Linked DNA regions of Mus musculus: region 2 is reported to be linked to region 1. Evidence: microRNA targets listed by miRTarBase, many of them from high-throughput screens and not tested one by one. Region 1 holds a microRNA gene; the other region holds the end of a gene's coding sequence.
What was found. The annotated mature microRNA mmu-miR-872-5p reads AAGGUUACUUGUUAGUUCAGG and lies in region 1 at 2,684-2,704, shown strand. An mRNA with a match to its seed (bases 2 to 7 or 8) in the 3' UTR can be bound and repressed. Matches are read on the target gene's strand: a 7mer-m8 pairs with bases 2 to 8, a 7mer-A1 pairs with bases 2 to 7 and ends in A, and an 8mer does both.

Region 1 (4,544 bases):
CCTTTTAATGATGTTCTGGTAGTAGAAAAAATTTCAATTTGCTGATGTTCATTATGATTTTTTTCCTTGTGTTGCTTCTAAAATTCACTAATATTTTTAACAGGTTAACAGATATAAAAGAAAAAATAAACCAATTTAGTGAAGAAATTAGACAACTTGACATGGATTTAGAGGAGCACCAAGGTAATGTTTGTGGTATATTTTTTGAGTTTTTCAAAATGCGATTAATACGCATCTGAACAGATGCGTATTAATTTGTAATCTTAGTGACTTTTATTATTTAGATAAATATAATACTCTATGATACGCCCAACTTAACTGAAATATATATACCGAGTATTATAAATAGTGTAAAAATAATTACTTGATTAAAATTTTAAGTAACTTAATGATTGTATAAGATAAGTACCTAGATTTTCAAAGGATTCTTTTTTTTTTCTTTTTTCTTTTTGTGGTAGAGGAGAGGATAATCAGGTAACAAATACTTCAAGTAGCCCAGAGAGGCTTCGTTTCCTGGTTGAGCTCAGTTGTGAGAGAGCAAGCACTGTTCTCTATTTTTTCCCCAGCCTAGGGTCCTAATGGTAGAAATTCTGTGTGTATGGGAGAACTGTGGGCATCATAATTCTCAGCCAGATTACTCTTGGTATAGATTCCCTGTTTAAAGACTTCATAGCTTACCTTCAACTGATAAATTTGTTCATGGACTAACCAGTATCAACTATATATTATCAGTAGTGGAGGAAAATCAGGATAATTTACCAATGAATGATAAGAGACATTCACAGTAGGAAAAATAGTATCCTTAGTCTTTGTTTTTACTTTTATTTATTTATTAAACAAATCTTTAATAAAATTTATTTTTTAGATTTTCTGTACATTGGTGTTTTATATGTCTGTCTGTCTATCTATCTATCTATCTATCTATCTATCTATCTATATCTTTGTGTGAGGGTATTGGATCCCCTGGAACTGGAGTTACAGACAGTTGTGAGCTGCCATATGGGGGCTGGGAATTGAATACCTGTCCTCTGGAAGAGCAGCCCGTGCTCTTAACCACTGAGCCATCTCTCCAGCCCTTTACTTTGATTTTAAAGATAGTATTCATGCCTTTTTGTTAATCATATAAATACTACTTGTTTTGTTGATAAATCACTTACCTGGATAGAATACTCTATAAGAAATCTTTGAATACTAGCTAATCCATTTTATAACCATGAAAGCTCAGGGCAATTAGTAGTTTGCTAAATTCTCCAAGTTAGTAGTAAAAACTAGACTTAAACCAAAGGTTTTCTGATGATAAAGTCTTAGTTCCACTGCCTAAGCATAAGCTTGACTTTCTGATTCAAAGCATTTCATTTGTGAAATTAAAATATGTTCTTAGAAACATATAGTTATATCTACATGAAGTTACTAATGGCATTAATAAGACTTCTAAAGGCTTAGGTAAGTAAGCTTGACTATGCTTTAGTTTTCTGGTTTGGGAAATGAGCATCATGGTAATGTCTCACTAAAGTTTATGTATTAAGTAGCATTTGTGACAAAGGTAGGCTCATAACAGTACTAAGGTCATATTAAATTTAAACTGTATTTTTCATTTGTTTTTGTAATTGAAAAGATTATATATACTTATTGTTTGTAGCATGTTCTGAAGTATGTATATATTTGAATGGCTCAGTCACTTTACATGTTGTTCATTGAGAGCAACTTAAATCTACTTCTCATGATCCTCAAGCATGGGCCACATTGTTGCTGGGCCTGGCAGCACACACCTTGAATCCCCTCACTGAAGACAGAAGCAGGAGTGTACCGGTGAATTTGAGCACCACCCCCCTTCGGATTATATAGTGAGCTCCAGGACAGCTAGGAATACATAACAGAAACTCTGTAATGAAAGATCCAAGGGAGAAAAGAGTATATTTACACTAATGTTGTACAGTGATCTCATCAATTGATTCTCAGCTTATGGAATTTTGTGTCTTTTGTCTATGTCATTTCCTCTCTGTTACTTTTCATATATGTAGATCTATTTAGAAAAGTCTGATGTTTTTATTTTAGAAACTTTACAGATTGCATCCTAAATAATTTTCTTCCTAAATTATAATGTATAGTGTTTAGTTCATTCTCCTAAAATGATGCATTTGGGAAGTAAAATTTATTAATTGAACTTGTAATCCCTACCTTGGATTTATGCTTTCTAATAAAGTAGTAGATTATTTTTTTGTCTACATCTGCATCTTTACCTGGGATGGTTAATTTTATTGTCAACCTGATTTACAAAGCACATAAATTAATAGCATATCTATGAGGTTGTTTTCTATGATGACTGCCTTAGGGGATAAGTGTGGGTAGCAACATTCTATAGAATAGAATAGAATAGAATAGAATAGAATAGAATAGAATAGAATAGAATAGAATAGAATAGAATAGAATAGAATGCAGAATGCTTTGGGTTTTGCTTCTGTTTTCTTTTTTTGTTTCAAATATTTTTATTAATATAGAATAAGCTAATTCTGAGTAACGGTGCTATTAGGACATATAAGCATATATAAATATATAAACTGTGTGTATATACTCACAGGTAAGTGTATTAATACATCAGTGATTATTGTTGCCACTTCTCTGCTCTGTGATCATCCTAATTTCTGCGACAACACAGGGGGTTGTGTAGATGGTAACTTGTTAGAAGGTTACTTGTTAGTTCAGGACCTCATTACTTTCTGCCTGAACTATTGCAGTAGCCTCCTAACTGGTTATCCCACCTCCATTCTTGCCCCTTCTAAGTTTTTTTCTGGTATAATGCTGTAAAAAAATGATTTGTGTAAAATATGTCTTGGTGTCCTTGTCCTGCTTAAATATGGTTCACCATGATGCACAAAATAACAAGTTTTATATGTCATATTAGTTCTCTACTGTGACTCTGTCAGCCTCCATTTCATCCCATAGTCATCTCTGGGCTCTGCCTCCCCTTTAAACCAGTTCTTACACTATAGCTCAGGCTTGCCTAGAACTTGTTGTATAGCCCAGACTAGCTTCAAATTCACAGCAATCCTCATACCTCATCCTCCAAAAGAAGGGATTACAGATAGGAACCATCTTACCCAGCTCTGTAGTAATTTCTTTCTGCTACCTTACATTTCTCCTTATTACCATTCATTCAACTATTTTATGCTCTAACCTTTTGTTTTTGTTGTCTTCTGTTTAACTGAATGTTTGTTGTTCTTCTTGTCTTCTGATTAAATTCTTAGCCTTTAACATTTAACTTGGCATCCTCTTACTCGACAAAACTCTGAACTTCTTCCCTAACTAGTTTCTAGGCTTAGATGAGTAACTGTCCTCCATGTTACCGGAACAGAGAATGTTTTACAGTTGCCTACTTAATTTATTTGTCTTCCCTCTTAGACTGTAAGCCCTCAAGGGCAGGGACTACCTCTTAACTGACTTTAGTAATCTAGTTCATCAACACAGTATCTGGGAAGTAAATGCGTTTTGGATACCCTAAACAATCCATAATTTAAGAAAGAAGGAATTGTACAATGAACAAAGGTGAAAATTGAGCTCTAATCTCTTCTTTGGGTCCTCTTATTTTAGGATCTAAGTGTGTGCTCTTCAGAAAGCTTGAGTGCAAAGATTTCATTACTTTCCAGAGGATCCCTACCTTGGATTCATGCTTTCTAATAACGTGGTGGATATTTTTGACTCGTGATATTTTAAATGAGAACAAGATCATGCATATTACATTCTGGCAATGAACTTGTTGGTCTGTGCTTTTTGTTCTGAGATTCTGTGTGATGCCTAATGCTAAAGGACTGACTAGATCATTGTGGAGAGGAAGTTTCAGGAGAGCTCAGGATACAGGCGATTGTGTAGGTTATGCTAGCTGCTTTTGCCAAGTTGGCACTAAGAACTGTGAGCAAAATCCGAACAAAGAGGTTTGAAAACTTGCCCTGTATCCAGAATACCATATAAATTTAGGGCTAGGGAAGTGTGACCCTTCTAATATTTTCAAGATTAGAACAGCTTGAACCACCAAATAAAAACATTTTTAATTGCTATTTTTATTTTTTATTTTTATTTTTTTAAGGTTTATTTATTTTATTTATATGAGTACACTGTAGCTGTCTTCAGACACACCAGAAGAAGGCATCAGATCTTATTACAGATTGTTGTGAGCTACCATGTGATTGCTGGGAATTGAACTTAGGACCTCTGGAAGAAAAGTCGGTGCTCTTAACCACTGAGCCATCTCTCCAGCCCTACTTCTTTTTAGTCAAGTGCTTGCTACATAGCCCACACTGCACTCAAAATTTCAGTAATGTTGGGAACTCAGCCTCATAGGTGTGAACCAAATGATTACTTTTTAAAGTGTTGCATTTTTTTTGAATTATTTATTTTATGTATATGATTACACTATAGCTGTCTTCAGACACACCAGAAGAGGGCATCGGATCTCATACAGATGATTGTAAGCCACCATGTGGTTGCTGAGAATTGAACTTGGGACCTCTGGAAGAGCAGTGAGTGCTCTTAACCACTGAGCCATCTCT
Region 2 (4,000 bases), not on the chromosome of region 1:
TCTTCTCTGGCTTTATTCCTCTGGCCAGCCATGCGGTGTGATTTCATACACACTCGGCAATCAGCGCATTTACTTTGGATTTTTTTTTTTTTCCTTTTCAGGATTCAAAATGAAACCCAACAAATTTCAGCTGAAGTCTAAAATAAGGCTTTCTATGAGTCACACATCGGCAAAGGCTGTGGAATCATATGCATGCTTTCTCATACAGTTGTAAGTACATATATATGCACTGCCCATTCATGTACTACATGCACAAATGGACTTCATGTTCATAAAGACAAACATACCTTCAAATTAATTATCATTTTTGATAGTTTGTCGCCAAGATAAAAATCATCTGTCAATTACAACATCAATATGACTTATTCAAAGGCTAACTTCAAAGAGACTTTAAATACTTTACATTTTCCATTGTTTTTAAAAAGGATTCTAAAGAATTAGAAATAATATTCTATGACTTTATTTAAAAATATTTCTTAGGATAGAGTACTCCAGAGTCTCTCACTCTCTTGTATGCCATTGAGTTGTGGTGTCTGTGTGTACATTTCCATTTTTCTTTTCATAAATATTAATTAATATATAGGTAGTTATGTAGCAGTGCTGAGTGAGGTCATTTAACTTTAATGTTTGGGTGTGGATAAAATCTTTCGGTGGACTAGTACCTGCAGGGCCAACAGGAGCTTTGACTAATGCTCGCCCTTGCCCACCCACTTGTCTCACTCTCTCACCAAGTCCAAGATGGAGAATTTCTCCTTCACATGGGAGAAATTAGACTTTGCATTTCTACCAGAACTAAGGCTGGAAGAAAGGGACAGGAAATGGAAGCAGAGAAAAGTATTACTTCAGAGGAAAGCAACTCCTGAGCGTTGGTCAAAGCCCTCATTGCAAAGGCACTCAACTGGGTCTTCATGAAGTGCTTTTGGTTTCATACTTTGCAAAAAAGGAGACAGACAACAAGGAGAAAGAAAGAGGAGGGAGGAGGATGGGGGAGGAGGGAGAAGAAGAGGGGAGGAGGAGAGAGAAGAGGAGGAGGAGGAGAGAGAAGAGAAGGAGGAGAGCTGAGAAAGGGGGGAAGGAGAGAGAAGGGGGAGGGAGAGAGAAGGGGGGTGAGGGCCACTGTCTATGCCATTCCAGACGACTGCAGGCTTAAATTTGGACGCTGCCTTTTCCACACACAGTGTGAGGAAAGCCCACACAAGAGGAAGCTATAGCTCTCTTTAGGGAGGCAGGAGAGTATGTTTGTTGAGTCTCTCATCTGTAAGCACCAAAATAGAGTTAGCCCACCACTGACTGGGCAGTGACACAAATCAGGTTACACACTCCTGAAGGCATTCAGATAACTGAGTGTTCATTTCATGTAAAAGCAGAACTGCATCACAACTGAGAGAAAACAACGCTCACATTGAAATTTTAACATTGCTATTATTTATTTTCCTTTAAGTGGGCATCTTGAATCACTATCAGCTCTAAAATCTAACATTCATAGAACTAAAAAAAAAAAGTCACATAAGCAAACAATAGAATAACCACTCCTCCCAGGGATGAGGCTGGGGCTGGGTAACTCTTGTGGGTGTGGGTGTGGGATGTCTATCAGTGTGACAGTGTAGGGTAGGAAAGATGCACATCTTAATGACGTCACACGTCACATGGCCTTTAGTCCTAGCCCTGTCAAGGTTCTACAGCTGAGGTGTATTGTTATTTCCAGCTCTAAAACATTAAATGCAGCCTGGTTTTAGCTTTTGAATTGTTGTGCCAAGATATTTATAGATGCTTGGTAGTGTCTCAGAAAACCAACTTCTAATATTTAAGGACCATTGATCTACGGAGAAGGAAGCCGTCTCAGGCCTAGACCAGGGAACTGTATTTCTCTGCTTCCATTCCTATCCATTGTCCCCGAGCCCTGGAACAGAGCCACTGACAGAAACAAAAACATTAAAAGTATCTAAGCTTATAGGGTACTGATCTATGACACAGCCATCCTTGTGGTCATCTTGTATAATCTCTGCTGTATTTGGCAGAGAACTCAATCATATACTAATTTACACAAATGCTACTCTATACATATATTCTGAGGCAGAGCAACTTGGGACACAGGAACACAGCTAACAATGCAGATCAGCTGCTGGGGGTGGCAGAATGTGCCGGCAATCATCCAGTGAGGCGGCCGTGGGTGTCACATGGCACACAGCATATGTGAAGCATAGCGAAGCACTTTGGGAAGTAAGCTCGTCACCATTTTACTGTCCTAGCAGAACATCTGATAACCTAAGGGATGGTCAACCCCATGAAGGCAAAAGCTCAGCCTGGGTTTGATGGTATAAAGAGTGTTTGGCACTTGGCATTGATAATGTATATGGAAAGATACCCTTTCAGCTTATAAAATAGAAATTTGAATTTAAAAATATATATTATGAATATGATAGGATACAAATTGATGCAAAAATATGTCTTGCTTTCCCTGTTTTGTGATTCAAAAAGCATCTCATTTGTTGGTACTGAGTGCTGAAGCAGAGAGAGAAACCCTTTGGTTATGCTCAAGAAATGCTTTCACAGTATGTGTTATTACAGTGTTGAAGTATATCTAACATGTTAATACTTAGCACTCAACCAAAAATAACTAAACATTAACGTAGGTAACTGTAATAATATGTTTAGTTATATTGTTTTGAGTAGTGAGAGCACAGCTGTCTGAGTGAAAATTTGTCAATATTTGCTACTTGATACATTTTGAATTAAGTCTCTGAGATAGTCCAGTAATCCTGGTACGCAGGAATTACAGAATGCCTTCATTGCTACATTTAGGTAGGTGGCCTGAGGCTTTCGCTGAGAGACATATGGAAGGAAGATGGCATATCAGAAAGAGATACCTCCCCTCTATCAGGCTGACTGGTAACTGTGGCATGACATCTATACCCTGAAGGATGACTTGGGACAGTGTTTGATAGTCCACCATTTTCCAAGATGGGGAGCAGCCCGTGCACTCAGTAAGCTTGCCTGAGCAGGCAGAAGTCGTCACTTCTGGAAGCCTCTTGAAGAATTCTGAGCAGCTATCTTGAAAGGTAATCTTCGTGTTTTCTTTAGTCACAGCCATCAGGTCACTGGCCTTCATTTCAACCGTAGGTAAGTTTTAAAGTGCAATTGATAGGGCCGAACCACCAGAAAGATCAGAATGAACATGACCGCCTCCCATGGAACGCCAAGTTCAAATTACTAACAGAGTCAGTATCCACACCAGAGAATGTCCAGGGCCATGGTCACACCCTGAACATCCTGCCTACACCGTCAGCACCATCAGCCTCTCTTCACCACAGCTGCAGTGTCATGGTCGGGAAGCACGGCATCAGGACAGCGTCCAGTTCGGGTGTGTGAATACTATTCTGTGCTTCTTGGCCCACTTGGCAAACACTTTCTTCTCGGTGATGAACCTGTGTCCCCCATACGGGGCATGTTCATGGAGAAGATATTCGTTACACTCATCTTTCCCTTGTTCATAGTAGTGATAGGGGACTTTTCTATACCCTTCTGTCCTGGAAGAGAAACAGAAGGGGAGGAAGACTGAGCTGAGCCGAGGATGAGGCTGGCGTTTACAAGCGTCCATTACATACCCCGCAAATGCATTTAACTTACAAGCCTTCATCAATGAGCTCAGTTAAAAGCTACCGCACATGAAAGCTTTTAGGGAAACGGAACCGTTCTCAGTGTCCTAATAGATCAAATACAATTTACATATCCTACCAATTACATTCAAACACATGGCTCAGTTTCAAAGGAGGAGATGGTATGAGACAGGACAAACCTTACGCAGCCCAGTGCTCTTTAAGGGGTAAGGAAACTGAGTTTTCACAGTGAAGTTTGGGGGTCATCTGTGTTCTCTTAGACTTAGTGGTTATAGCAAATGTTTATTCATGAAGACTGTGACCCAGAGTTACATTTTAAGAGTATGATTAAATGCTCTCTGATTCATATTGGTAGAGGAACTATATTCCACCACCTTCATTAA

Region 2: miRTarBase lists St6galnac3 as a target of mmu-miR-872-5p. Seed matches in the 3' UTR shown: 7mer-m8 at 1,310-1,316.

The regions. Positions count from the first base shown.
Region 1 is chr4:94,662,484-94,667,027 of GRCm38, forward strand. Mir872 (microRNA 872) reads left to right here and starts at 2,674; the gene lies at 2,674-2,754. Ift74 (intraflagellar transport 74) reads left to right here. Exons shown (of 20, transcript NM_026319.3): 13 at 104-183.
Region 2 is chr3:153,202,065-153,206,064 of GRCm38, forward strand. St6galnac3 (ST6 (alpha-N-acetyl-neuraminyl-2,3-beta-galactosyl-1,3)-N-acetylgalactosaminide alpha-2,6-sialyltransferase 3) reads right to left here. Exons shown (of 5, transcript NM_011372.2): 5 at 445-3,527. The coding sequence ends at 3,341. Among named protein-coding and RNA genes, the nearest start is that of Gm33066, 20 kb to the right of the region's middle.